7 linked regions of the Rattus norvegicus genome follow. The protein of the gene in region 5 purifies or fractionates together with the protein of the main gene of each other region. This does not show direct contact. Links are inferred from orthologs where the notes say so. Each region holds a gene or a part of one and is shown on either strand. Other genes may lie near its edges.

Region 1 (4,246 bases), on a different chromosome or scaffold from region 5:
CTTACCTAGGAAGCGCAAGGCCCTGGGTTCGGTCCCCAGCTCCGGAAAAAAGAACCAAAAAAAAAAAAAAAAAAAAAAAAAAAGAAGAAGAGCCCTGGGTAGTGGCGCCCAGGGAGTCTCCTGGGGCAGAGGAACCGTACAAGTGAGCTCATCACTGACATTCTGCACCAGGCCTTCCAGAAGCTTGGTAAAACAGCTGTCCTGCTCGGGACAGCTCAGGGCAGAGCTCCGATTCCATCGCCAGTAGCCAAAGGAAATAAAAATAAATAGAAGGGCAGGGGAGTTGGATCCATGGGTAAAAAAGGCTGACTGGTGAAAAGGCTAGACTGATTCCATGACAGACTTCAAACTGGCAGTTAAGGAGAGTAGGCCTAAATCAGTTTCCAAGAACTGGGCAATTCCAGGCAAGTCCAGGCCTCAGAAGCTGCCCTGCCACCTGGCCTGAGGCAAGGACAATGGCTGGGTCAACAGCAGTTTCCAGACTTCCTCAGCAGCAGTTTCCAGCCCTCCCCAGTAAGTTTCCAGCCCCCACACCCCAGTAATGGAATGTCTGTAGAGATGGACCCAACAGATTAACATAGAGGTCACCTACCCCAGAATTCCCTAATGTGCTTTAAATCAGACTTCCAAGTTCACTTGGGTGTCTATTCTGGTAATGGGAGACCACAGCATGCTGGACTTCTGCAGAATAAAACATTCATTGCCTTTACATACTATTTGAATCCACGGTATCATTCTTCGGTGGCGAATCATGGACCCTAACACTGGGCAAGCATGAGAACCTAACTTTGTATCTCAAGACGACAGATTAAAACACACCTGCAATCCCAGCACCAAGATCTCAGGAAGTTTGAGACCAGCCTGGTCAACACTGAGTGTTCCAGGCCGGTTAGGGCTGCACAGAGAAACCCTAACCTCTTCCCAAAATGATAACGATTAAAAAAAAACAAAAACAAAAACAAAAAAACAAGGTGCTGGCTTGGTAGCCTACAGCGGCCATGCCAGCACTGAAGAAGTTGCGTACCAGGCTATTGCGAGTTCATGATCAGCTTCAGCTGCCACAAGAACCCATCTCAAAACACGAAAATTCCAGCGATTTGTTTCCTGTCGCCGGGGAACGCTGGCCCTGACGTTCGCGTTCAAGGATTATATTTGGATTGATAAAGAGAAAGAGCTCCATAAGGGCGAGGACGGAAAGATAGGAGCGCGAAGAGGGTATGAAGCGGGTTTCCCCAGCCCAGCGCGATTCACATGCATTAGCCAGTTTCGCCCACAGTGTGGCGCCGAACCAGTCAGGAGTGCACATCTGCGCAGGCGCCATTTCCCAACATACACCATGAGTGGGCATGAAGAGCACCGCGGCCTTTTGCGTCACTCCGGTGTCACGCTTTACGGCCGCTCCTCAATCCCACGGTGGGAATACGACGCGATACGCCGCCGCGTTATGTAGGCACCGCCTTATCCCGTTCCGATTGGATCGGTCCATTTAGTCACTCGCTGATTGGTTATAGTTTCTGCCAGTCTTTTTCAGGCTGGAGCGCGCGGTAGACTGCCGGTGGGAGTGCGAGTGGCTGTGCAGCGGCGGAAGTTATCTCTGCAGGGAAGATGGTGAGGGCCGCGAGGCGGCGGGGCGCGCGCTCAGGGTCTTCGGGCTGCTGAGAGATGGGGAAACCTGAGGCCGGAGGTGACCAGTGTCTCTCTAGGGTCCCAGTCCGCCACCGTTGCGGATTTATCTCTTGAATGGACAAGGTTTTTTGCGGCCGGAAGGACTATGATCGCTTCCGGAGCTTGTCACCGTTTTTGATAGGATTGCTGCGTTTCCGGGAAGTGGGCGGACCTAAGGGCTCACGTGGGTTCCATTGCCCACTTGATGCTTATCAAGTGTCTGACCTCAGCTGCCTACGCCTTTGGCCGAAAGTCCAACCCAGATTGAGGGATGTTTCTCTCCCTTGGACACATAGCAGGTCCTGCTCGGGAGGAAGGAAATTTTTTCTCCTAGTTCAGGCTCAGGCCTTCCCAGTTGTGGGACCTGACATGATGGAATAGAGGAGGCCAGGTTTCCCTGCTGCTCTATCGAGGGGCGCGTTGGCCCAAGTTGGGAGAGCTGGACATGCCCATCTCAGTTCTTGATGGTAGAATATTTGGTTTTGTTTTTTGGTTAGGCTTTCTGATCTGAACTTAACGTAATCCAGGCTAGCCTCAAACTCATCCTCTTGCTTCAATCAGTGGAGTATGGAAAGGACACGTGTATACCTCCATGTTTGGGTTAGGACGGGAGGCAGATCTCATATAGCCCAGGCTGCTTTTGAACTTCCTTTGTAATCACGTATGACTGAACTCCTGATCCTGCCTTTACTCCAGAGCGACCCTGGGTTTTGTGGTGCAGGACCTCAGGGCCTAACACATGCTGTGTAAGCACTCCCCACTAGGTGTACCCTGAGCCCCTGAGACTCCTTCAGTCTATTCCCACCATAAAGCACCCGCCCAGCCTCTGAGCCTCCCTGAAGGGATGGCCAGGTGTGTCCAGGACTGGACACCCTCTCCACGCAGGTACGCACAGACACTCCCATATCTCTGCGGCCCAGCTGGTACAGGAGTGTCCCAGCCGAAAGTTTCTGAATTCGGAGCCCAAGGCTTGATCCTCCAGCCGTCTCATCTACACGCTGGATCCCAGAGAGGCTGGAGGGTGGCTGAGAAGGAATTTCCTTTCCTGAAACTGCTCCTCTGATGGGAGGTGCTGGGACTGGAGCCCAGAGCCAGTGGCCATAACACCTGCAGGTGCAGGTGCTCAGTGTAAAGCTGTATCTCCCCACTCAAAAGCCTGTGACTATCCCAGCTCCACCCTCCCTGTCCACCCTGGCCCGTTTCACTCTGAGCTTTTTTTCCTTCGTTTTGGGAGGCCTGCCCAGCTGGAGCACGGACTAATTACTTCTCTATGAACCCCATTCCTTCCATTCCTCTGTATCCCACTGCATGCGCAGATCTGGGGGTGGCGGCCTGTCCCTACACCACACTTACCTGTGGCTCTGGACAGGATGCACCTGTGCTGGGTATCTCCACCCTGCCTGTTCAGCAAGTGTTTACTGCCCCTCCCTGCTGCAGGAGAGCCCGCGCCCACACTGACCTTCTGTCTAGCCAGGGAGACTGGTGCTGATCACCCTGTAATTAGAGAGCGGCCCCTGCTGTGGTGGGTGGAAACAGGCTGGCAGCCCAGGGTGGCCATTAGGGGCCTAGTCACAGGAGGGGACATGCTCAGCAGGATTGGGCAAAGAAAGTCTGGGGAAGGGCACCCTGGGAGGTGGCTGGGGCCCGGGCAGGAGGGACAAAAGCTCAGTAGTAGGCTGGACCTTACCATGGCTGCCTCACAGCCAGACTAGCCTGTGCTGGCCATAACAGCTCCAGAAGAGCTGTGTATGTGCGCCTGTTCTTGTTTAGTGATGTTTGCCCCTGAGCCTTTGCTGTGCCTTGTCTTCAGGAGTTTGACTGTTCTATTTGTTCCTTTATTGAAACAGGGTCTCATGTAGCCCAGGCTGACCTCACATTGTAGCCAAGGATGACCATGGCTCCAACTCCCTGGAGCTTAGCCACAGGCTGCCAGACTGTGCCTCTTTTTCACTGTTTATTTGAGGGTCAGACTGGACACCATTGTCACTGATCACCAAGGCCACCCTCCCACCACCCATTTTCACAGAAGCCATCCTCTGCCTCCTACCCTTTCAGGAAGTCTCTGCAGGAAATGGGCTCCAGCCTCACTTCCTGCCACTGAACCCCCACCCCCACCCCTAGCTCTTCTCAGGAAGGGCCCTGTGCTGCAGGCTCCCCCAGCCCTCTCGTGACCCAGAGTCACCAGGCTGGGCACGATGGCCCCGAGGATCTGAGTCCTTGATGTTTGTTTCTTCTGTTTTAAATGATTTATTTTTATTTCATGTGCATTGGTGTTTTGCCTGCGTGCATGTCTCTGTGAGTGTGTTGGTTCCCCTGGAACTGGAGTTATAGGCATTTGTGAGCTACCATGTGGGTGCTGGGAATTGAACCCAGGTCATCCAGAAGAGCAGCTGTGCTCTCAACCACTGAGCCCTGTCTCCAGCCCCTTGTGATATTGTTGTTGTTGTTGTTTGTTTGTTTGTTTTGCTGTGTGACCCAGTTACCCTGGAACTTAGATCCTCCTGCCTCTGCCCCTCAGTGCAAAAATTAAGTGCCTGGCTGTATTTTGATTTTTGGGTGAATTTTGGAGACATGTCTAATG
Region 2 (3,500 bases), on a different chromosome or scaffold from region 5:
TAATTCACTCTAAAGACTAGGCTAGCCATGAACTCAAAGATCTGTCTTCCTCTGCCTCCCAAGTGCTGGGACTAAAGGAGTTTGCCACCACATCTGGGCAGAACTTAATCTCTTTTAATTTCTAAAAATGATGGAGTTCACTGTTAACTTTCAAAGAATAACAGAGCAGAGCAGCTCCCCCATAGCAGAGGAGAAATGACAGGATCTTCACTGGAGATTACTCAGCACAAAAGATGACTGTCAGAAAAGATGGTGTGTGACTGTCCTTTTTGCCATTCTTGTAGTGTACGGGGTAGGCTGTTAGGACAGCCCTGTCCTGCTGTGGCTGTGGATGTTGTGCAGAGCAGTGTAAAGTCCCACTTTTGTCCCTCGTCATTCTGTGTGCCATTGTCTTTCTTCTCCCAGCTTAATAGCAGCCTCATGTCAGGGTCCCTGTGTGTTTGGCTCTCAGTCTTCTGTAGGAACCCTGTCTGTTCTCATGGGTAACAGTGGTACTGTCTTCGTGCTGCTCTGAGGTACTGTCTTCGTGCTACTCTGAGGTACTGTCTTCGTGCTACTCTGAGGTACTGTCTTCGTGCTACTCTGAACTCCCTCATCTTGTCTGAAACCTAAAGGAATGAGGATCTACTGATTCTGAGGGTAGTTTCTCCTACACACGTACAACCATTGTGCTGCTTTTGTTTTCATCTTGAGACAGGATTCAGGGTATATAGCTCTGGCAAGCCTCAAACTTGTGATTTTTGTCTCATCCTCCTGAGGCTTTGATTCCGGGTGCATTTGGTATTTTTCTGATTTGTTGTTTTTGTTACTGCCTCTCCCATCTCTACTTCATCCCCCTCAAGCCTCCCCTTGCACATGTGCACATACACACACATACCTGTGCTGCCCCCCCAGGTGTGTTGTGTGTGTGTGTGTGTGTGTGTGTGTGTGTGTGTGTGTGTGTGTGTGTGTGTGGTTTTTGGAGACAGGGCTTTTTCTGTGTATCCCTGGCAGTCGTGAAACTCGCTCAGTAGACCAAACTGACCTTGAACTCAGAAATCCCCTGCCCTTGCCTCTGCAGTGCTGGACTTAAAGGCATGTGCCACTACCACCCAGCTTATCTGAAATCTTATTGGTTAATTCTAGTGTGGAGAAATAACAGGACTAGGGATATAGTTCAGTAATAGAGCACTCATATGCAAGGCCCTGGGTTTGATCCATAGCTTTTGTCTGTCCCCAGTTGCCAGAAAAGAAATTAGAAGGTTGTTTCTTAGAAAAATGTTTCTGACATCACTTTACATGTTTCCTTGCATAGAAGCCACTGGCTGTTTTCTAAGTGTCTTCAGTGTGAGGTCACTGGTTAATGTGACAAACCTTTACTTGCGTGTGTGTGCACGGGCCTTGTGGGTGTTGCCAGGGAAAACTGGAGCTAGGGCAGCACAGTTCTTGGGGTACTTGTTCACAGGAAACGGTCTTCCACTTGCTTCTCTCTTTGAACTTTTCTTTAGTATTGTCTCCTGGTCACTCTGTATGTGTCTTAATTTTTAAATGTTTTTACTTTTATTGATTAGCACAAATCTGTATAAAAGTGTATCTGGTGGGGTTGGGGATTTAGCTCAGTGGTAGAGCGATTGCCTAGCAAGTGCAAGGCCCTGGGTTCTGTCCCCAGCTCCGAAAAAAAGAAAAGGGAAAAAAAAAAGTGTATCTGGCAACCACTCCCAGTCTTTACTCAGGAAGACAGGCAGTTGGATCTCTCTGAGTTCTAGGCCAGCCAAAGCAACACAGTAAAACAGCACTGTCCCTTCCCCCAAAGGAAAGGGACATGTGTGTATTCTTAGCTAAATATAACTGAAGAGTTCTGTAGAGAGTTTAACTTTAAAGAAATAATGTAATTGCTGTCGTGTTACTTTTGATGCTTTAAGTAGCACTTGGGTCCCTCCAGTGGGTGGGTTGCAGTCTGCTTAAGCCCTAGGTAGAAAGTTAGAAGGTGATCTGGATGCCCACGGCCCTGGCTTCCTTTTTTTTTTTTTTTTTTTTTTTGTGTGTGTGTGTGTGTGTGTGTGTGTGGTTCTTTTTTTCGGAGCTGGGGACCGAACCCAGGGCCTTTCGCTTCCTAGGCAAGCGCTCTACCACTGAGCTAAATCCCCAGCCCCGGCCCTGGCTTTCAAATGTAGTGTTCTCATTGGTGCCGGTATCCTCCATCCCCAGTTCACAGGCCCAACTTCTTCCACCCATGTGATTCTCAGTGGCCCGGCCATTCCTGGCTGGTGGTTTTTTTTGTTTTTTTGTTTTTTTGTTTTTTTGATTTTTTGTTTTGTTTTTTTTAATAATGACCCTTGGGATCAGATGTACATCTTAAGGCTTTCGTGCTAAACACTTTACAAACTGTGCTGTCACTCCTGCCCCTGTGCAGTTGATTATGGGCATGCTTGGGCGCCATAGATGGAAAGGTGGTTTAGTGTAGAGAATGTCTGTACTGGTAGCTGGAGTCTAGCAAGGTGATAGGTTTTGAAGAATTTGGATTTGGAGTTTGAATCCCAACCTGCCATTACAAAGTATGAGTCTGAGCTATAATGACATAGCTTGTCGTAGTTTTCTTTTGTAAGGTGAAGGAAGTGGAAAGCTTTCTTCCAGAGCTGGCTCCAGCACTGGAAATGACATGCACAAAAGCCTTCATATTTCGGGTCCTGTGGTTGGGAGCAGAAACCCTGAAAAGGTCCCTGCTTGTGTCCACTGTAGTGTACTTTCTTTAAAGTTGGGATAACTTTCTTCTTTTTTCTTTCAGTCACCTCCAAGTAAACGAAGAAAATTGGAAAAGCCAAGGAAACCCATTACTTTTGTAGTGTTGGGGTCTGTGATGAAAGAGTTATCCCTCAAAGCCTCATCTTTGGGCTCCGAGACAGTGGAAGGCATAGTGGTTGTAACAACATGGATAGAAAAAATCCTCACTGATCTGAAGGTGTGTGGCCAGTGCACTGACGAAACTTTACCTACATGACCTTTACAGGGTTTTGTTTGTATGTTTGTTTTTTATTGAAGGAGTTTGATAAATAGTGACAGGTGATTTCCTATAAAATTCTGTTTTTCCTTCCTCATAGGTGCAACATAAGCGGATTCCCTGTGGAAGAGAAGAAGTTAGCCTTTTCCTGACAGCCATAGAAAACTCGTGGATTCATTTAAGGCGGAAGAGAAGAGAGCGAGTGAGGCAGCTGCGGGAGGTGCCTCGGGCTCCTGAGGATGTCATCTTAGCCTTGGAAGAGAGAAAGTCCACTCCCAAAGAGCTGAGTAGTGGCCAAGACATGACCCATTGCCTCCAAGAGAGTGCCTTGTGTGGACTTGATGTGCCGGAAGGCGAGTCTGCTGCTGTTGGTGGCCATTGCTTCAGCCAGAAGTTACTGTGCCAGGAGGAAACACCGGAAGCTATGGAGGATGAAAGGGATGAGGAAAGGGGAGGGATGGAGGCCATGGAAAGTTGTAAAGGCTCCAGCAATGGAGCCCAGGACGGAGAGGCTTCTGAGAAG
Region 3 (3,946 bases), on a different chromosome or scaffold from region 5:
CTCCTACAAAAGGGAGGGAAAGAAAATCAGTAGTTTTTATTTTGGAGCATAGAATGAGCTCAGAACTAAGAGACTCTGAGTAAACTTAAGGAAAATGAGGCTATATGATTGAGACAGTGTTCCTATTATACCCATGTTTTATTTCCAAAATTATTGGTTAAGATGGGCGGGGGGTGGGGTGGGTGAGATGGAGGGAAGACCACCATGGGCTAATTAAATTGGGCAATTTTTCTTTTCTTTTCTTTTTTTTTTTTAGGTTTATTTACTTATTATATACATCATAGCTGTCTTCAGACACACTAGAAGAGGGCATCGGATCTCATTACAGATGGTTGTGAGCCACCATGTGGTTGCTGGGATTTGAACTCAGGACCTCTGGAAGAGCAGTGGGTACTCTTAACCACTGAGCCATCTCTCCAGCCCTTGGGCAATTTTTTGATTCTATATTTATCTACTCCAATAGGTGAATTTCGATTCTCATGGCAAGTACTTAAGGACTATTTTCTAGCACTTTTCAGCAGCTACGTGACACAGAACCCTCACATTTTCTTTAAGAGACTACCTTTTCTACGTTAAAATGCACGGCCTTACAATGACAGGTGTATTTTTAATAGGAACTTGAACCCAGAGAAACTCTTAAGTCACAAGCAACCCATAAATAACACTGCATCTTTACTGCATGGAGTTTGGGGCAGGAAGGTGGTGTTGTATATTTAGTAACATTCTTTTTTTGCTACTGTTGTTTTTTTCTAGACAGGGTCTCACTATGTAGTTTCTGCTTGTCCTAAAACTCATTATTTAGATCAGACTGGCCTAAAACAGAGATCTGCCTGCCTCTGCCTTCAAGTGCTGGCATTGAAGGCCTGTGACACCAAACTTGGCAGCAACACTCTTTACAAGGAAACACATGAAGTTTTTTCTTAGGCTTTAATGTTTTGTAGGCTTACGTGTTTGTAACAATTCCACTAAAACTCTCCCTTATCCTTCAATGCTTTTTATCTGCTATTTGGGATAACACAAATTAAGAGTTACGTAATAGGATTTCGGTCCCAGGACATCAGACACAACAAAACTCCAAACGCTATACTTTGTGAATACATTTCAACTTTATAGTACTAACAGCCAAAACAAAAAACAGTACAAAAAGCCCTAAGGCAAAACAAACAAACAAATCCCCCTATTTGAAAGTAGACTCAGAAGCAGCTCTCCTTCCTCTGAAAGACACTCTATAGATTAGCTCTAACCATGCACACATTTCAAAAGGATAAAGGTCATTAACTCCTGTGGGAAGTCTCCACAAATCTTGTACCACAAGCATCCCTCAATCATTTCAGCTCAGGAAGTTAGGAGCCTTAAAGGCTCCAGTGTAGAATAAGTGTATAAATATGCTTATTTACAGACTGGGCAGGACAATTAAAATAAAAACACAACAGGGACAAAGTAAAAAGCCCCAGTCAAGTAACTAACATATTACTAAAAATGTTACCAGCCTAAGAGTTTCTCTTTGCTAGTTAATGATTAAACCCAAGAGACACTCACTCACTCACTCTCTCTCTCTCTCTCTCTCTCTCTCTCACACACACACACACACACACACACACACACACACACACACACACACACACACACACTGTCTCCTACCGCTTAAGCAGGAAGGGACAAGGTTAGATATACAGTCTCTTTGAGGACTAACGTAGGTTTGACAGAGCAGCATTTCACGGACTGTTTATTGCTTAACATTTTTAAGGTAAGGAACGAACTGTCAGGTAGGCTGAAGGCTGAGGTCCCTTGTAGATCGCCACATTTTCCAGCATATTTTCGGCAAAAGGTATTCAGCCAAAGTGGGGGTGGGCACCAGAAGATTGATCTACAGGTAGTCCGAAAGCAATACACCAATACACACCAGGTACACACACACACCCATCCACTAACACCAAGGAACCACGTTAGGCAGGAACCTCCCTCCTGCAAACAGCGGAGAGACAAGACGTCCAAACCCTCAAAAAGATGGGCAGTGGATGAAAGCCACCTTCCCGGGAGAAACCCATCAGCCACTAGAACAGTGCACTTTCGGGCAAGTGCAAACAAGGAATCAGATAGCGTGGTGCAGGGTGGGGTGCTAGATCCGAGACGCACCCGGCAGGTTGGAGCCGGGCTCTGCTGCCAGTTCCTCACCTTGTTCCTCTACGGCCTTGTCACCCGGTGCCTCGGATCCGGGAGTCTCGTCTCCGCTCCGTTCCTCCGGCCCGTCTTCCTCCCCCTTGCCGTTGTCATGCTCTTCGCCACCATTTACCCCACCTGACCCGGCCGTGGCCTCCGCCGGTATGTCGGAAGCTTCGGGCTCGGCCTCCATGGCTGACGTCTCCGGGGGTTCCGGAGGCGGCGGCGCGGCCTGGCCCAAAGCCTGAGCAGGTGGTGGCTCCTCGTCTTCTTCCTCAAGCAGCGCCTCCTCGTCCTCCTCCTCCTCCTCGTCGTCCTCCTCCTCGTCCCCGCCCGGGCCTCCGCCCGACGCGGCCACAGGCCGAGGCTCCGCCTTGCAGGCCCCGCCGGGCCCGGCCCCACCAACGCCAGCCTCGTCCTCCAACATCTCAGCATCCAGTGCCTCCTGAAGCCGCTGAGCCAGATCCATTTTGAGGCCGCGCGAATCCAGGCCCCGCCGCTGAAGCTCCGACCGCAGCTCGGTCACTTTCAGCCGCTTCACCTCCATCGCCGCCGCCGCCTCCTCCGCCTCCCGCCGCCTCCTCCCCTGCGAACTGTCGACCGAGCCCGACCGCGCAGGCGCCGCCGCCCGCCTCCGCCTCCCGCGCCAGCACTGAGCCCGCGCTAGCAAGCGCACGCACACAGAGGCAGAGACCGCGCTGTTTTCGCGGCGTGTTTGTGTCGCCTTCCTCCTGCCCTGCCCCTTTCGGCTCACTGAGCCCAAAACAAGACAGCGAGGAGCAGCTTCCGAGACATTCAGTACTCCACTGCCGGGTAGTGCGCGCCGAGGACGACAGAGTTCCTTCACTCCTCCTCCCTCCTCTTAGAGATCCGGGCCAATCAGCGAAGGCGACATAACCGCGCAGCCGCACCGAGGCCTGAGGCTGGCTGTGGCTCAAGTGCCTCGTAGCACGGAAGCGTGCGCGCGCTCCTCTTTCCGTACTTCAGTTGTAGGCTCTACGCAGTCGCGCCAGGGCCCCGCCCTCCTCACGTCTCTTACTTCCTGCCTGCTCCCAATTGCCGGAGCACCTTAGGTCTTACTGGATGTCCTCCTTTACTTATTCTTTGACTGCTACTTCTGAGACTAGTAACCGAAGACAAGCTGGAGGGATGGGTAGTGCAGGGTTTTCGTAGCTAGTCAGTAAAGACCTTTTCAGCACCGAGGGAGAGAGAGCAATGTCGGGACCTCTTTCTGTGCTTAAACATCTACCCAGCAACAGAGGCGCCAACCTCACCCTTTCCCTCTCTCATTGGCCAGCTTGAATCGTAGTCTGTTGCTCTGATTGGCCATCCGATATCGTGCAGCTTTTTTTCCTATTGGAGAAGTAGCCGGGAATTTTTTTTTTCCGGGTTGGTCCGCTGGGGAGGCGGGGCCGGTTCTGCGGGATTACTTTTCTAGACTCCATTCTGATTGGGTGGTATGACGCAATGCGCGCGCCCCATTAGATGCTAAACTGCTGGCCAGTCTGCTCTTTTCCTCTCAGTGCTCCTGCACTTAGGCCGAATTCCTGGAGGAGTCTTCCGGGCTTGGGCCTCTGCTGTGGCGCTGTTGTTGGGCACGGTACTTACGGCCTGTTTTTCTTCACCTGTGGACTGGAGACTCAGGCCTCACTCACTTCGGTTCCTCAATAACAGCAGAACCATCAGCAAATGTTTGTTGGATAAGGACAAATAAAAAGGTTGGAAAGGAGCGAAGCCTTTTTGACTTGTTTCAGTTGTTCCCGCCTACTCCATCTTCTTCCAGGTC
Region 4 (4,147 bases), on a different chromosome or scaffold from region 5:
CAAAATCTGCCAGCTTTAGGACCCCATCTCGGGTAATGAGCACGTTGGCAGCCTTCATGTCCCTGTGCAGGATCTGCAGGGAGGACGCATGAGAGCTCGGTCAGGTCTCATAGTATCCCAGAGACCCACCCACAAGGCAGTGAAGAGCAAAGAAGCCCCAGTCTGTCCCGGCCCCAGGCCTCACCTTGTTCCTGTGGATGTAGTAGAGGCCATTCAGCAGCATCTGCATTACTCTCTTGATCTCAGACAACGTGAACTTCACTAAGACATTGCTCAGCAGCCCAGCGAGGTCATGCTCACAGAAGTCGAACACCAGATAGATGCTGCCTTTGCAGCGGTTATAGGGTGAAGCTGGTGCAGAATAGGGAGAGAGGGTGGGAGGGAAAATAAAAAACCTGCACCCACCTCATTTTCCACAGCCAACTCCCAGCCCTCCAATCCACAAACACCCAACTCCATCGGAGAAAGCCCGGAGAAGCTGGTGGTCAGTCACTGGTGGTGCATGCCTTTAGCCCTAGCACTAGGGAGGCAGAGGCAGTGTGAGGCTAGCCTGGTCTATGGAGCAAGGTCAAGGACAGCCAGGGCTACACAGGGCAACCCTGTCTCAAAACAAAACAGATCGGGAAGCTGTGTGATCAAGTCAAGTCAGGAGGAGGCATTAAGCACATTTACCTCAGGAGTGCAAGCAAAGGTTTAAGGTTCATTTTATCCCGAGAACGAGCATCGTACCTTTGGTTCGACAAATCTCAATCAGGTTGACCACATTCTCGTGCTTTAGGAGCTGTAGAATCTTGATTTCCCGCAAGGCTGTGATGGGGAACTAGGGAGGAGAAAGAGAGGAAGTGGTCAAAATTGAGAGCAACAGACCCATGAAGTAAAAGTGTGTGTGTGTGTGTGTGTGTGTGTGTGTGTGTGTGTGTGTGTGATCTATACTGAGGGACAGAGGTTGAAAGGCAGGTAAGAGTATAGTTTTTGTGTGACAGACGGTTCCTGTCTGGAATCCAATCCTACTATCAGGAGTCAAATAGAGAGTAGAACTGTCCCAAGTTCAAGGCCAGTCTGGTTAGTTGAGCTCTTGCTTGAGGGGAAAATAAATATATTTATCTGCAACCAGTCTCTGTAAAGCAGAAGGTAAGTGAAAGGACACACACATCTCACTCAAGGAGCTGCTAGATTTTGCCATCTAGACAATGGCGGCTTTGGACTTGTGAACCATCCTTTTTCTTTGGCCTCGTAAATGCTGGAACTACAATCATAGCCCTCTACGCTGGGCCAGGAATTTATTTTAGACAACTCAAATAGGGACAAAATCTTTGGCACTAATGCTTGTGGGTTAAAATCAAGAAATTCCCTGGGTCCAGAGATAGATGAATAGTTAAGCAAACCAGTCCTGGCTAAGAGTGGCAGCCCAAGCCTTTATTCCCAGCACTCCGGGCACAGGCAGTTGACCCTCTGCGAGTCTGAGAACAGCTGGGATACTGAGAGATTTTTGTATTAAACAAGTCTTATGTTGAGTCCCTATTTCAGGGAGACATACACATATGCATGCACACACACATACAACACTGGCTGTTCTTCCGGAGGACCTAGGTTCAATCCCAGCCTCTACATGGTGGATCTTTTTAATTCTAGTCCCAAGTGATCCAAGGCAGCCTAGCATGGTCTCCTCAGGTGCCCAGGTACCAGACAGGCATGCTGTACACAGCCACACCAGAAAACAAGACACGCATAGACAGGAAATAGTCAAACAGCTTTTTCCTTACAAAGAAAACGCTGTACTAAAGCTAAGACGGGGACATCATGCTTCAAAACACGCCTTAAGCTAAGCTGCCTTTTAAATTGCCTGTGCACAAATTGTCCCTTCGTACAAAACAAAATTCGACGCTAAGCTGGAAGTTTTCAAAAACCCCACTTCTAGAGGCAACGTGCACTTTCACGCAAAGCACAGGCTCCCTCACTTGCCTCCCACCGAACTTTGCCACAAAAACTCAAAAGTCTAAGTGGAAAGCCAAATGTCTTGTCACACGGAAAATCGAAAAATACTTGGGTGGAATCTCAGCACAAAACCCTTTTAAGTAGCAGTGTGGAAACCGAGCACAGGTTAGAAGAACTGCCCAGTGGTCCATATACTCACCCCCTCCTTCTCATTCTCCATCAACACTTTCTTCAGAGCCACCTTCTGGCCGGTCTGACGGTGCTTGGCTTTAAATACTTCCCTGCAACACAAAGACCCGAGGGACCCATCAGGCATTTCCGCAGGGACCGCCCCTCCCCCACGCGAAGAGGAGCAGCGGGAGACCAGACACACGGTGGGGTGCGGCCCGGGACTCCTGTAAGCTGTTATTCCACACCACGTGTTTTCTGTCCTTCTCCCAGCCCCTGCTCTTACTCCTACTCGGCTCCCACTCCTCCCCCCAGAGGTGTCCGCTCACAAACTGAGTTCCTCTCAGCAACCCTACCCAACCCCCATCACGGGCCTCAGGCTCCTCCCTGCCAGTCCGCTCGGTTAGGCCGGGAGCGTCTGCGGCGCGGCCTAGCAAGACCAGGCAACAATCAAGGAAATAGAAGCTTCCGTACCACCTCGGGCCCCGGCCCTGAACGACCCGATATAGGCCATGGAAAGTGCAGGTCCTGGGCTACCGGTCCCACGCGGCCTAATCTTACCCGAATGTGCCTTGGCCGATCTTGGCAAGTTTCTCGTACTTGGTGACCTCATCGCAAAACGGGCATTCCACTGAGTCGTACTGCTTGGCCATGGCCGCCTCCAGCGCGCCGCCGCCGCCGCCGCCGCCGCCGCCGCCCCCAGCCGCAGCTCCCGCCGCTCCCGGTCCCGCCACACTCCAGGCCCCTCCGCGGCCGCGCCACTTCCGCCTCCAAGGCCACTTCCGGCCTCGAGGTGCCGAGCCCGCCTCTTCCGGTCTCCGCCCGCCGCCAGGCCCCCTGGGACTTGTAGTTCCCGGGAGGCCAGGGGGAGCCGGAGCTGCAGAGGAGCCTCCGCCGCCGCCACTGCCCCCGCCTGCGCCGCCGCCGCTAGTGCTGTTGGCGGCCCCGATCGGGGGCGCAGGGAGCCGTGGCGCTGGGGCTGGGGCTCGTGGCGGTGCGTCCCGCTGCATTGGCCCGGGCCGTGCTGCTGCCGAAGCTGCTGCCGCTCTGGCTCCCGATCCGGGGCCAGCCGCAGTGCCCTGCTCCTCCTCCTCCGACGGCGCCGCCTCCGCCGGGCTGCGCGGGGCGACGGGTGGGGGTGTGGGGAAGGCCTGGGGGCGGGGGCTCCCTGGCCAAACCCGGCCCGGGGCGGCCAGGAAAGGGGGCGAGATAGCAAGAGCAGACGAGGAGGCGGCCCGAGAGCCCGGGAGGGGGCGCGTTATAAAGGGGGAGGTCCCCGTCCTGGCCTCCCCTCCCCCTCCCGCCCCCTCCCTCCTCCTCCCACCCTCCGCGGCCGCACCTGCCGCCGCCGCCTCCCGCCCTCCCGCTCCCAGTCCAGCGTCCGCCCTCGGCGCGTCACTGCTAGCAGCCCCTCCTCTGCGTTTGGAGGTGGGGCTCCGCACTAGACACCTGCCTGCGGCGCCCTGCTGCGTGCCTCAGTTTACCCCCCTAATGCCAGCTGCCACAGAAGGGCCCTTCTTCCAGGGCTGGGAGTGTGCTCCCAGTGAGGCGAAGGCAGGAGGTGCCGAGGGAGCGGCCTGAGGCCCGGGGAAGAGAGAACTGCCCCCGCTGCCGCCTCCGCCGTCTCAGCCACCCGCCGTTGACATGGCAACTGACGGCCGCCAGGGGGCGCGGCGACGCTCAGGCCTAAACCCTGGATCCTGTGTGGTCAGGAAGGCAAGGATGGATCTACTGCCTTCCTTCACAGAGCTGCGGCTAAGCTGGTCTGTCCTGCGTCAATCATCCCAAAAATGGTTAAAATTGAACAGGCACTCCTGCGCGTTTTTGAAATGCTGGGCATGAGCTGGGTAGTGATGGCGCACCTCTTTAATCCCAGCACTTAGCAGAGGCAGGTGGATCTCTGAGTTCGAGGCTAGCCTGATCTCCAGAGTGAGTTCTAGGACAACCAGGAAATAATAACAGAGAGAGAGAGAGAGAGAGAGAGATATCTGCTGGACATTCTGAAACAAACATGTGAACTGGGTTTTACAGAAAAAAAATATGA
Region 5 (3,955 bases):
CTAACAACTGTGTAATGGAGGGAACTAGCATGATGTCAGGCTGGGCACTCGCTCCATGTAGAGCCCTGCCTTCACTGCCCCTTCTCATTGTTCAGTCAGCATGGGAAGACAAGCCCATGAGTTCCTGACCAGTAATTTCAGCAGTCTGTGCTGCATCTGGGGAAAAAAGGCAAATAAAGTCCCTATCAAAGTCCCAAACTACACATATTGGAGTGTTTCCCCTCCCCCAGACACCCAACTTCAGGCTCCCTCAGGAGATTTGAGGACAAGGTTCCATCTGGACTCAACAGGAGAGGTTACCCTCAAGGGAAGCGGATTGTTTGGATTTTAGTCCCAGTTGGAAGCAGAACAAGTCAGCCCCCTATGTTAGGGATGAGATCCTTGTTTGTAGTCATGAGAAAAGACCAGATGTTAGAGCCTGAAGGTAGAGATCCCACTTTCCACGTTATAGGAGCAGAGATAACACACCCAGCAGAGATTCTCTGGCCAATCCAGACTGTTCTCTCCGGGAGATGGTTCTTGTATGAAGGAACAGATGCATGGATATGGCCATCCCCCCCAACACATCCCTACTTAATCTCATCTTCACATTGGGACCCTATTCCAAGAGCCTCTGGACTCTTACCGTGACGAAGACGACATTGTTGGGGAAGACAGATGTGTCCGCTCCATCCAAGGGCAAATGGGGTGCAGCGATGGGACCCCGGCTGGCTGTCAGTGAGGCTGGGAAGCAGCTCCTTTTTCGGACAGTGGTAGTCCCTTCCTCCCCCTCTGTCCCTGGGTCCCCCTCAGAAGTCTGAGCTTGGAGACGAAGCTCCTCGGACAGGTAGTGTCGGATATTTTGGCGGGCAGAGTGGATAAGTCGTGGATCAATGTCCAGCCCCACCATGCGGGCTGGGCCCCACTTGCAGGCAATACTTAGGGTCAGATGGCCAACGTTGCAGCCCAGATCTAGGACGTCCCGGCCTTGAAACCACTCAGGCTTCAATACCCTAAGGCGCATGTCCTCACAGGAAGGATTGCGATAGCCATAGTACTTGCAGTAATTCCCATACTGGAACTTGAGCTGTTGCTTTTTGAAGCCAGTTGCAGGTAGTGGGTGGTGGTGACGGCCTCCCCCACTCCCTCTGCCCTTTTCCTTGGAACCCTGGCTTCCACCCCTAGCCCCTGCCTCTGACTTGCTGGAAGTCCTGCGACGTTTGCGATGTCGGGAGGAGGAGGAAGAGGGTGCAGAGGTAACTGAGGCAGCTGGAGGGGCAGAAAGGGAGCCTGAGGAACCCTGCAGGGCAGACGGAAGGGGAGACACAACTTCATCCCTGCAGTTGATGGCTGTGTTGAGTTCATAGGGTTGAGGGTCATCTCGGTTCTGGCCTCTGTGCTGCTGCGTAGCACCCTCCCCATGGACTGAGGGTGTGAGAGGGTCAGTGGGCAGCACAGCTTGGCTATCATTCCCTCCAGATGCCTGCTGCTGCTGGTGGTGCGGTCCCCGGTGTCTATGGCGCTTGCGACCAATCTTGAGTGGTGAAGCAAGCACTACATGGGCTTCATCAGTGCACGTGTTGAGACTGAGTGGGTCAGTGATATCTTTTGGGATGAGGATCTCCACAGGGTCTCTCCCCTTGGCCGGAAGTGGGGATGACTTTGGGGTCTCCGCATTGAGTGCGCGACTCACTTCCTCATCCAGGAGGCTATTCAGGTTCAGTGGATCAAATATATTACCCCCCAGAAGGAAATTGGATGGTAACACGGAGTCGCAGTCCGAATTCACTCGCCGGCGCCTCTTGAAGGCCGGATGTTTGAAGCTTCCACCGCTCCCTCCCCCCACGTTACAGCTATTTCTTCTTTTGCCCCCACCACCCACTGGGGGTCGGTGGGGCTGGTAGCCATTGCGAGGTCGAGGAGGGGCTGGGGGACCCAGGTCCGTCCCGCCCCCTCCCCGGCGCTCCTCCCCCACGTCCGCAGGAGCGGCAGCTCGCCCGTGGGGCTCCCCATGCGTCTGTGCCTGGGGGCCGCCCCCTCCGCTGGCTGTGGCCCCGGCCGAGTGCGCGCGTGGGCCCGGCCCGCGTTCTGTCCCGTCGAGGAGCTCCCCGGAGGCAGCCTCTTGGTGCGATCGCACCTCGGGGCCGCCCCCTCCACCCGACTCATCTTTGAGCGGCGGCGGTGGGGCTGGCACCAGAAAGGGCTCCTTCTCCGCCGCCATCTCGATCATCTCCTCTCCCTGTTTAATTTCCCCTTCCCAAGCGAGGGTACTGAGAAGAGATCAAGGGGAAGCCCCCCTGTAACCCTTCCTAAGACCACCTCACTCCCTCCTTCCCCGAGTGCGCGCGCAGCTCTGCCTCGCGCCCAAGCGCCTCCACCTCCCTCCCGCAACACACCAAGCGCGCTCCACTCGCCCGCGAGACCAAAACAAGATGCCCGCGAGACCCGGACAAGCCGAGGAACCAACTGCGCGTGCGCTGACACCCTTTTCTCCGCCGCCTCTACCACTCTGCCGCGAGCGCGCACGACGGGCGCGCGTTCCGCTCGCCCAGGACCCACGCATGCGCGCTCCGCCACCACCCAGGCTGCGCGCGCATCGGGAGTGCGAACCAACTTAACGGCTCTGAGAGTTTAAATACAGCCCCCCCTCCCTAATAGCCTCACCCTCCCCCAGCCCGAGACGCCCACCGCCCCACACGGACACCCGACTTCCCTTCGCTGCTAAGTCCAAGCCCTACTGATATCCTTTGTCTCTGCTGTGAGATCCCACCCACCGTAGGCGGGGAACGGGAGCTGGTGTGAAAAGGTCTCCTTGACACCCGACCCTTGTTCCTGAGGAATGAGGCTCCGCGGTCTCCGCCCGGCTCTAAACCCAACAACCTCCCTGCCCCGCCTCCTTCCTCCCCCATCCCCGCCCCTCCTAGAGAGCGCCTGCGCACCGTCCTTTTGGGCTTGCGCGGGTTGAAGGGGCAACACGTGCTGGAGATGATGCTCCGCCCCCTCCGTCCTAGGGGCGGGGAGTATGACGTCGTTTCCTTAGGTTAGATGCACGCAGCGTGCGTCAGCACGTTTCCAAGGGTTGTGCATTCCCAGGAAAGGGGCAAGCTCATGAATTATTCATGAGCAATCTAGTCCTTCCCCTCCTTCTTCCCGCCCATCTCATTAGAATTAGAAGGATTTAGGAGAACCTGAGGGGGGAATGATAAAGTAGGCGAAGGAGTCGAGCACACTGTCTCAAGAACTGTTGTCAATTAAATGCAATACATTGTTTAAAATATTCTTCGAATTGAAAACAAGCAAGCACTAAAACATCGAGGCTGTACAAATTCCTCTTCCCCTGAAACGGCCTGGTCGTTCAGGCGACCTCCCTTCCACCAGCGAGGAACATCTAGAGAACCACGCCTTCCTCTCCTCCCTTCACCTACGTCAGGCCTCGGACGCCTCCGCTACAGTGCGGCGCCTGCGCATCAGTCCCCAGCGCGAAGGGTGGCGTTGTTGTTATCGTCAATGCCACCTTTCGCGTTGTGGATTTTACAGCATTATCGCTGCAGCTTTGCTCCACTAGACACACAAGCGAATGTGGGCGGGAACGGGTATCGACCTGTTTTGGGCCTTCTGCTTCGGCCAATGGGAAGCACTGATTCCATGCCGAGTCCCTAGACTGATGGCTGGCGGAGTTTCCCTGTCAGCAGACTATCAGAAAAGAAGCAAGAGGGGGGCCCAAGATGGTCTCAAAATATAAGAGCGTGACGGAAACTAAAAGATAGGGGTCATAACATGGAAACAGGAAGGAGAAGGAGATTTTAGGCAGAGACAAGAACGAAGTGCCTCAGGTGCTCCGCTGCAGCTTATGGGGGGGGGGGGGAATAAAGGCGCCGGCGTGGATTATGGGACTTGTAGTTTCACTAGGCTTTCACTCGGAAGATGGCGAGCTACTCCAGCTGCTCAGACGCAAAAGCGGCTTCCCTCGGCGCAT
Region 6 (3,967 bases), on a different chromosome or scaffold from region 5:
GGGAAACAAGCTAAGAGAGGTAGATGCTATACTTGGAGAGCATAAACCTAAGGAGGTTTTAAGTAAGAAGACAGAGGCATAAGGTTTTGTTGTGGTTCTACATCCATTTGGCTGCTAGATGATGGGGCAGACAGATGAGAGGAAGCCAGAAAAGAAGCAACCTGAAGTTCATTTCCTTAACGATATGGACAAGATCTCTAGCTATAAAATTAAGAGAATTAAGTACAGATTTCGGTGGTTCCAAAGCTGAACTGGACTTGATGCCGAACTGGCAGTTAAGAAGAGATGTGTTCTAACGTGTGTTTTAAAAGGGATGATTTATTGAAATAGAACAACTGGGGGGATGGATATGTTTAAGGGGAAAGATGGATCTTGTTCAAGATCTAGATTAAAAACTCATTCCAGCCAGGGCGTAATGGTGCATGCCGGTTAATCCCAGCACTAGGGAGGCAGAGACAGGCGGATCTCTGAGTTTGAGGCCAACCTGGTCTACAAAGCAAGTTCCAGGACAGCTAGGTCTACACAGAGAAACCCTGTCTGGAAAAACAAAGCAAAAAACAAGAGTAACAGAAAGCGCATCCTAAAAACCCGGAGCTGGAGTTACACTGGATGGCAGTCAGGAACTTGATGAGAGAGATCTCTCACTACAGGTCTCCCTCGGTCCTGGTTTTTGGCATCTCCTGAGATACCAGGCAATTGCGAAGCTTTCTCCAGCTCGGCCTTCAACACTTGCTATGGGGCTGAACTTGGTACTAAAGGTTAACCGAGGGGTTAAGACAGATAGCAGAGGCCCTCGGGGGCTGGAGGGGGGACGCATCGGGCCGTAAAGACCTTGCGGTAGACACAGATCCGCTCCGCCGCCCGCCCCAGCCTCCGCCACCATCGCCTGACATGCTGCAGACTTGGCCTCTCACCCGCATCGCTCTCCTCAGGCCGGGTTGCTTTGTTGTCCTCGGCTTCCTGGCCGCGCTTCCTCCGCTTTCCGCCTGCGGTACGCTTTCGGGCCATGCTAGCCAGAGGCGTTCCTCCGGACAACCACGCAGGACTGCCGAAAGTCTCCGCGTGCCGGCTCCGCCCCGAGGCGTGCCATGCCTGGCCGCACCCCCAGCTCCGGATAGGACCACGCCCTCCAAAAAATCCCGCCCCCATGCAAACTACAAGGGCGCGAAGGGACAAAAATAGTGTAGTTCGCCTTCCAGTGCGTGGCGGCCCAACGTTTCCTAGTGTCTGCTCTCGCGAGAGGTGGAAAGGGCGCAGCGTTTGAAACATGGCGGACGACGTAGATCAGGTAAGTTTGTCCTGGGGCGTCCGAAGAGGAAGTGCTTTCGTTTCTTAGCCGGGCTTGCTTTTTCCACGCTTCCCGTGGAATGGCCCTTTTCTTTTTCCCGAGTTCCCACGGCCTTCCGCAGCCAGGCCTGCTCCTAAAACTTCCGTAGGCCCAGAGTTTCTCAACCCGCCCATCTGCCCATCTCGCTCGTCGTCGCCCTTTCTCTGTAGAATGCAGACGGCTGTGGATATCCCATCTATGGGAGATACGGTCGGGATTCCGACAGAAAGAGTACTGTAGCGGTAGGACACCAGCATAGTAATACGTGTAAGCACCTGGCACGCAGGCAGTGGCTCACTTGGAGTGTGTTACGAGGGGAGGTCAGATAAAAGGTGCAGTTATGTGAGATAGAGAAACTGCTAGAGATGTAGTATATAGAAAACAAGCAAAGACCTGGCACACAGTGTTTCTCTTCAGAGCATGTTGTTTTAAATGTGTTCTTTATTTAAAATGTTCGTTCCACAACTAGAATATAAGTTCCTTAATAGGGATTTATTGGGGCTTAGTGGTTAAGAGCACTTTTGGCTCTTGTAGACAACCCTGGCTGTGTACCAACACCCACATGTTGCTTTCACTGCTTAACAGTGATTGAAACACCACACTACCTCAGTGTTCCATTACTAAGCCTTCTTCTCTCATCAGCAACAGACCACCAATACCGTAGAGGAGCCCCTGGATCTTATAAGACTCAGCTTGGATGAGCGAATTTATGTGAAAATGAGAAATGACCGAGAGCTTCGAGGCAGATTACATGTAAGTCTGTTAAGTTATCTCAAAACCAGATGCTCCCCTGTCATCCCTTCCTACCTCCTTACAGATAAGAACTGCAACATAAACTTATTTTTTTTAATTATACAATGACTTTTGGGAGTTGGAAATTCCTTTATTGGCTTTTAAAATATTTTTTCCTTAACCAGAATGTTTTTTAGAGAGGGATGGGACTCCTGTGAGACCAGAACAAGGCATCTGATTGCCCAGAGCTGGAGTTACAGACAGTTGTGAGCTGCCTGGTGTGGTTGCTAGGAGCCAAACTCAGGTCCTCTGCAGGGATAACCAGTGCTCTTAATTTGAGCATCTCTACAACCCTGTAGAACACTTTTGTTTTCTTCAGCTTTGTCCTCTGTTTATTTAAAATGAATAAACTTCTTTTTGTTTTAGACAAGGTCATACTATGTAACCCAGCTAGCTTCAAACTCAAGATCCTCCTGCCTCTCTCTCCTTAGAACTGGGATTTTAGACATGCACTACCACTCTTGCCATTGTCCTATGTTTTTAAAAGTTATTGGACAGGGTGTTTTGGTTTTCGACATATAAAACTCTCCTTTGACATGAAAAAAACTAAATAGCAGGCCAGAGATCGTTCACCTAGTATGTGGCAAAGCCCCTAGCACTACCAAAAAAAAATTAAACACCATAGAAATCTAAAGGTGAAATTCCATTTTCTCTGCACTATTCAAAGTTGGCTACATAGTCGTCCACATCTTTTCTGCATGTGTATATGCTGTCTGTGTTTGAAGGAGGATCCTAGTGAGGTACGGTGGCATGTGCCCATAATTCCAGTACTTAGATGACTGAGGTAGGAAGGTCATATATTTGAGGCCAGTCTGGACTACATAGTGAAACCTTGTCTGGTATGTACACACCTTTTCCACACGGTTTCTGTGTGGAATGATTATGCAGCTGACACAGTTGCCCAGGATTCTCTATAAGGCTTCGGTCACTTTTTTGTTTTTCCAGCCTTAAAACTGCATTGTGCACTTTTACATATATTGCTTGTGCACATTTATGATGCCTGTGGAATTGGTCCCTTGAAGTAGCATTATTGTGCACTTAGGGTTTTGTCTCTTCTTGTTACTTTCCTCAGAGCTGTTGGTTTACAACGGGAATTGGAATTAAGTCTTTTTAGTTCAGGCTTAGAAATAGCCCCATACTGGCACCCACAGAGCCAGTGTGGGGGACAGTCTCAGTCTTTCTTCTATGAAGAAATTTTTAGTTCTTTCATGAAACCTGAGGATAAAGAACCTCTGTGACTTGGAAGGAAATTGGACTGTTGATCTACAAGCCAGCATTAGGGAAACAGCGGTGCCAGTTTGGTGAGAAACATGGGATGGAGCTAAATTGAAAGGCTCTTCGGCACATGGAATGACCCCAGGCTAGACCATCGCCTTTAGTTTGGAGGTGTCTGAAGCTCTTACCTCTGTAGTAAGTGGCCCAGGTTTCTGTTTCCTCCCTGCTCTCCAGCTGAACATTTTGCTCATTTGTGTAGCTGCCAAGCAGTTCCTTCTCAATGTGGCGCCTGGCTATTTTTAATCTTGATATGAGCAGGCAAAAGCACTTAGCACTTTGTTAGAAGAACATATAAGTGGGTTCTGAACAAGCCCCAGGAGGTTTGCTGTTAGTAAAAGGGATGAACTTTGGAGGTTGCACTAAACACTGTGGTTGCAATCCTTCCTGCCTGAGCCCACAGATGCCAAAGCATGTTAAGCTCTGGACAAGTTATAAATGGGCAAAGTAAAGGTGGGACAGATGATTGGTGGGTAAAGTTTGAGTGCTGAAGTTTAGATCCCTAACACCTGTGGAGACCCCAGAACAAGCTCTTGCGTTCAACTTAAAGACACTACCTTAATACATACGGTGGGG
Region 7 (3,972 bases), on a different chromosome or scaffold from region 5:
GAACCGGTGCATGTATACTATGGCAGTATTGATCGTCAGTTGTGAGCTGAAAGTGCTTGAGTTAAGGTTCAAAAACAGACAATATAATCTCCTTCCCAAAGGAACAAATGGCCAAGCACAATAGAAGATCCCACAGGAGAGTGAACTTAACTCTTCCACCCAAGGCAGATCAGTTTGCCTTCACTAACTTAGAGGGACAGCATGTGCTCTGCCTTACAGGTGCTTACTATGGACCTAACAAAATAAACAAAACAAGCAGCAAGACGTAAATCAACATACAATGCAGCGCTACATTGGATCTCAGACTTCCTGTCCTGTCACTTGCCTTCTGCAGAGATGATCCTTTAGCTCAGGATAACTTTCTTTACTACATTCACTCTGGGCGGGAGGTGCAGGCCACAGCATGAGTGTGGTGGTCAGAGGGCAACTTGCAGGAGCCGGTTACCTTTCCACCCTGAGTCCCAGGCATAGAATTCAGGTTGTCAGGCTTGTGGATAAGTGCCTTTACCTGCTGGGTCATCTTGCCTGCCCAAGAATAACTTTAAAACGGTTTCTTTTAAAGTGTATCAGCATTTGCCTGATGCACCATGGGCATGTCTGGTGCTCCAGAGGTCAGAAGAGGGCATGAGATTACCCTCAAACTGCAGTTATAGACAACTGTGGCCTGCCATTTGGGCACTGCCTCAACAGTGAGTGCTCTTAACTGCTGAGCCATCTCTCTAGCCCCACCAGCGTAACTTTTTAAGGATATTTACCAGGCCCTCCCTTACTAGGCTCTTGGAACTTTTCTCTCTCCTCTTCAGAACTTCAGTAATTAAGTTTACCAGTTCTACTTTCTTTTCTTTGTGGGGGGTGGGGTGGAGGCAGTGTTCAAGGCAGGATTTTTCTATGAATCCCTGTCTTGAAACTTGCTCTGTAGATCAGGCTGACATCAGAATTAGAGATCTGCTCACCTCCCCATCCAGAGTACCTTTAATGGGATTAAAGGTACACACCACCACACCCTGCTTAGTTCTGATACCTTCAGGAAATAAAGCATGACCTCTGAAGTATAAAACCTTTGAAATGATTTGAAAAAATGGAACTCCTGCCTTCCTCTGGTCCAGTCTTCCATTTGTATAGGCACCATTCCAACCTCCCCAAGAACTTAAGTACTTATCCCCACAGATCTCAGCAACAGTCTGCAGAGAGGTGACAATATGAGGGCAACAAGCTTTTTTTTTTTTTTTCCTTTTTTTTTTTTTCCGGAGCTGGGGACCGAACCCAGGGCCTTGCCCTTGCTAGGCAAGCGCTCTACCACTGAGCTAAATCCCCAACCCCGAGGGCGACAAGCTTAAACACACACTTAAAAGGCGCTGTAAACACACTGGGAAACTGGATTTCAATAGGAAACAATTGGCAATAGAGAAAACACCTATTTGGAACAATACACAACCTTCAGATTTAAACACCACAGACCTAAACTCTGCACCTTTTTTTTTTTTTTTTTTGATACAGGGTCTTACTACGTCCTGCCTCTACTTCCCCAAAGCTCCAATTAAAGGCACTGGACACCAAGACTAGCCCTCAGCATCACTCTTAAATAAATGCTACACAAGTGGAAACTGCAACTAAAAGGAAAAAATATATATACATACATATACATATGTATGTATATATGTATATATGTGTATGTATATATATGTATGTATGTATGTATGTATATATATGTATATATATATGGAGGGGGGCAGGCAGTGGTAAGAACTTTAAAACTACTAATTTTGCCACAAAAGACTACATTTTCATGAGGGAAAAAAACTGGGACAGGAGGGGAAAAAGAATCCACCAAACTACATTATCTCTAAATTGAAAACTGATAAATAAACTGTCACTAGTGCCCTGAAAAACAAGAACTTAATATTCTGAAAACTCTTAAAAGTCTATCAACACATATACCTCCCTACAAACCTAAGTTGACATCTTTCCTTCCTCTTAAATTCTATGAAACAGCTACTGGAACGTTTGAATATCAAGCGTTGTGGTGGACATTGGGGGGACAAAACAAACAATAATTTGACAGGTTAGCCAGCTAGGGAGAGAAATGGGCTTGGAACCAAAACTGGAACACTAATCCTAGACCACCTTCATAAGTCCTTTGAGAATTCCCAGAAACCCTTTTTATACACTTCGGGAGGCAGAGTCGATGGTGAAATGTCTTACATGGAGCCTTAGCTCACGGCAGAAAGGAGACTCTCAAAAGCCACTAAACCAGGGCAGAATTCAGAGAACAGGGGCCGAGGAGGAGTAGCGAAAACACAAAGACAGGAGAGGCACGAATTCGCAGCCCGGCCGGTGGCACCGGTGAGCGAGCGGGAAATTGACTCCGCCTCACTTCCCTCGCGCGAACAGTGGTTCGGCCAGCGCCATTGTGGGCTCTCCCCACTAGACTCCCAGCTCCTGCCACCACCACCACCTTACCCACTTCTGTACCCGCCAGCGTCGCCGGCCCGGACGCCGAAGCATGGCCGGACGCGCTCCGAGGCAGATGGCCTAGGCCGCAAGGATACACGTTAAGACGTTGTCCCATGTCCTGGAGTAGATTGGCCGCCTGCTGGCGATAAGATAGTTCTTTATCTGAGTCCACGCCAAAACGACGCGATGGGCTGTTTTCCAGTTGTTCTCGAGTAAAATACCACCGTTTGTTGTTGTTCTTCCTCTCTCCCTCCATAGTGCTTCAACCAAGAGGCAGCGGCGGGGGCTGCAAGCACTTCCCAGCGTCACCTAAGCGGCGACACACATCCGCCGGGCCCAGACAACTGCGACGTGACGAACTTCCTCCAAGGGTCGACCACCAGGTTGTGACACACTTCCGCTCAGGAAGCCGAAGATTCAAGCGCCTACTTCCGGTATGAACCCTACGACGCCCTGTAGGCGAATCAGCAGCCAGTCCGCGGCCAGGAACGAATAGGAGGCCGGGACTCGGGCGCCGGTAATATGACCCCCCAGTGGGCGGGACTGTCGACGTTGTTCTTTAAAAGTCTCGTGCGTCCGCGCGAGAATTGGGTTAAGGTCGCCTCGCCGGCGGCCCCTGCTTGACTCTTGCTGAGCTCGGCTGGGTCTCTTCCGAGGAGGACGTTCGTGTTGAAGGCCCCTTTGTAGTACGGGGCTTACGGAGCCAGTGGCAGGGAAAATAGGCAAGACTCTCAGAGAACCGAGAAAAGACCGGACAGTGAGTGGCCCTGCCCCGTGTTGGAACGTCGAGGACCCAGCCCGCTTAAAAGCTGCTCTATTTTGTAGCCGACTTTCCTCCGTTTCACTGCAGACAATCAACTGGAAGGAATAAAATCAACGTTACTGACTTCAAGCTTCCACGCCCAAAGGACACGACATATTTTGTTTGGGTGTTGGACTTTGAAGATAAAAGGGTCTTTTTCGCTCTTCATTTTTTTTTTCTTTTTTTCGGAGCTGGGGACGGAACCCAGGGCCTTGCGCTTGCTAGGCAAGCGCTCTACCACTGAGCTAAATCCCCAACCCCGCTCTTCATTTTTTATTTATTTATTTGTCTATTTATTGCAGCCCTGGAACTCAGAAATGCGGCCGGTTTTGCCCAAGTGCTGGGATTAAAGGTGTACACCACCCCTGCCACGCTCTACACTACTCATTGTTTTTATCATTTAGGTCAGGAGGCCTTTTTCTTTTGCATTCTTCCCTCTGGTCGGCGAATGTGATAAGCTTGCCTGCGCAGATTACAATCTTCCAGTCAGGTCCCTAGGCTACGCAAGGGCCCTTGCGGGTCAGGTCAGTAGTTCGAGGAAACCCACCCCTGAGGGAAAGGTTATCAGGTGAAGGAGATCAGGAGATAATTTGTGCACAGCACTGGGAAAGATTATCAAGGGCTGTAAAAAAGCCAGCCGGGGCTGAAGTGTGCCTCAGCCTCCGGTCTACTCCAGGGTGTCTCAGTTCCCAGGCCTCTGTCGCTGAGTTGAACTT

What was found.
Region 1: the proteins of Mepce (region 5) and Lsm4 purify together in Homo sapiens (affinity purification with mass spectrometry; 3 studies listed by BioGRID and IntAct, with this or other methods). This does not show direct contact. The link is inferred for Rattus norvegicus from reciprocal best matches to the Homo sapiens genes MEPCE and LSM4.
Region 2: the proteins of Mepce (region 5) and Mettl16 purify together in Homo sapiens (affinity purification with mass spectrometry; 3 studies listed by BioGRID). This does not show direct contact. The link is inferred for Rattus norvegicus from reciprocal best matches to the Homo sapiens genes MEPCE and METTL16.
Region 3: the proteins of Mepce (region 5) and Hnrnpul2 purify together in Homo sapiens (affinity purification with mass spectrometry; 3 studies listed by BioGRID and IntAct, with this or other methods). This does not show direct contact. The link is inferred for Rattus norvegicus from reciprocal best matches to the Homo sapiens genes MEPCE and HNRNPUL2.
Region 4: the proteins of Mepce (region 5) and Cdk9 purify together in Homo sapiens (affinity purification with mass spectrometry; 10 studies listed by BioGRID and IntAct, counting the BioPlex papers as one, with this or other methods). This does not show direct contact. The link is inferred for Rattus norvegicus from reciprocal best matches to the Homo sapiens genes MEPCE and CDK9.
Region 6: the proteins of Mepce (region 5) and Lsm3 purify together in Homo sapiens (affinity purification with mass spectrometry; 3 studies listed by BioGRID and IntAct, with this or other methods). This does not show direct contact. The link is inferred for Rattus norvegicus from reciprocal best matches to the Homo sapiens genes MEPCE and LSM3.
Region 7: the proteins of Mepce (region 5) and Ccnt1 purify together in Homo sapiens (affinity purification with mass spectrometry; 3 studies listed by BioGRID and IntAct, with this or other methods). This does not show direct contact. The link is inferred for Rattus norvegicus from reciprocal best matches to the Homo sapiens genes MEPCE and CCNT1.

Annotation. Positions count from the first base shown.
Region 1 is NC_086034.1:18,792,057-18,796,302, reverse strand, and holds the start of Lsm4 (U6 snRNA-associated Sm-like protein LSm4), read left to right. Parts: upstream 1-1,446; 5' UTR 1,447-1,521; coding exon of another isoform or gene 1,522-1,605; coding exon 1,606-1,608; intron 1,609-4,246. UniProt on the Homo sapiens protein: Plays a role in pre-mRNA splicing as component of the U4/U6-U5 tri-snRNP complex that is involved in spliceosome assembly, and as component of the precatalytic spliceosome (spliceosome B complex).
Region 2 is NC_086028.1:60,180,817-60,184,316, forward strand, and holds part of Mettl16 (RNA N6-adenosine-methyltransferase METTL16), read left to right. Parts: intron 1-2,764; coding exon 2,765-2,938; intron 2,939-3,077; coding exon 3,078-3,500. UniProt on the Homo sapiens protein: RNA N6-methyltransferase that methylates adenosine residues at the N(6) position of a subset of RNAs and is involved in S-adenosyl-L-methionine homeostasis by regulating expression of MAT2A transcripts.
Region 3 is NC_086019.1:215,141,604-215,145,549, reverse strand, and holds the start of Hnrnpul2 (heterogeneous nuclear ribonucleoprotein U-like protein 2), read right to left. Parts: upstream 2,801-3,946; 5' UTR 2,708-2,800; coding exon 2,176-2,707; intron 4-2,175; coding exon 1-3.
Region 4 is NC_086021.1:36,396,217-36,400,363, forward strand, and holds the start of Cdk9 (cyclin-dependent kinase 9), read right to left. Parts: upstream 2,801-4,147; 5' UTR 2,757-2,800; coding exon 2,665-2,756; intron 2,217-2,664; coding exon 2,135-2,216; intron 821-2,134; coding exon 730-820; intron 352-729; coding exon 185-351; intron 74-184; coding exon 1-73. UniProt on the Homo sapiens protein: Protein kinase involved in the regulation of transcription.
Region 5 is NC_086030.1:24,547,441-24,551,395, reverse strand, and holds the start of Mepce (7SK snRNA methylphosphate capping enzyme), read right to left. Parts: upstream 2,801-3,955; 5' UTR 2,210-2,800; coding exon 626-2,209; intron 1-625. UniProt on the Homo sapiens protein: S-adenosyl-L-methionine-dependent methyltransferase that adds a methylphosphate cap at the 5'-end of 7SK snRNA (7SK RNA), leading to stabilize it.
Region 6 is NC_086022.1:125,577,018-125,580,984, forward strand, and holds the start of Lsm3 (U6 snRNA-associated Sm-like protein LSm3), read left to right. Parts: upstream 1-1,167; 5' UTR 1,168-1,267; coding exon 1,268-1,288; intron 1,289-1,969; coding exon 1,970-2,080; intron 2,081-3,967. Other genes in the region: Xpc (DNA repair protein complementing XP-C cells), read right to left, coding at 915-1,008. UniProt on the Homo sapiens protein: Plays a role in pre-mRNA splicing as component of the U4/U6-U5 tri-snRNP complex that is involved in spliceosome assembly, and as component of the precatalytic spliceosome (spliceosome B complex).
Region 7 is NC_086025.1:131,594,139-131,598,110, forward strand, and holds the start of Ccnt1 (cyclin-T1), read right to left. Parts: upstream 2,801-3,972; 5' UTR 2,711-2,800; coding exon 2,550-2,710; intron 47-2,549; coding exon 1-46. UniProt on the Homo sapiens protein: Regulatory subunit of the cyclin-dependent kinase pair (CDK9/cyclin-T1) complex, also called positive transcription elongation factor B (P-TEFb), which facilitates the transition from abortive to productive elongation by phosphorylating the CTD (C-terminal domain) of the large subunit of RNA polymerase II (RNA Pol II).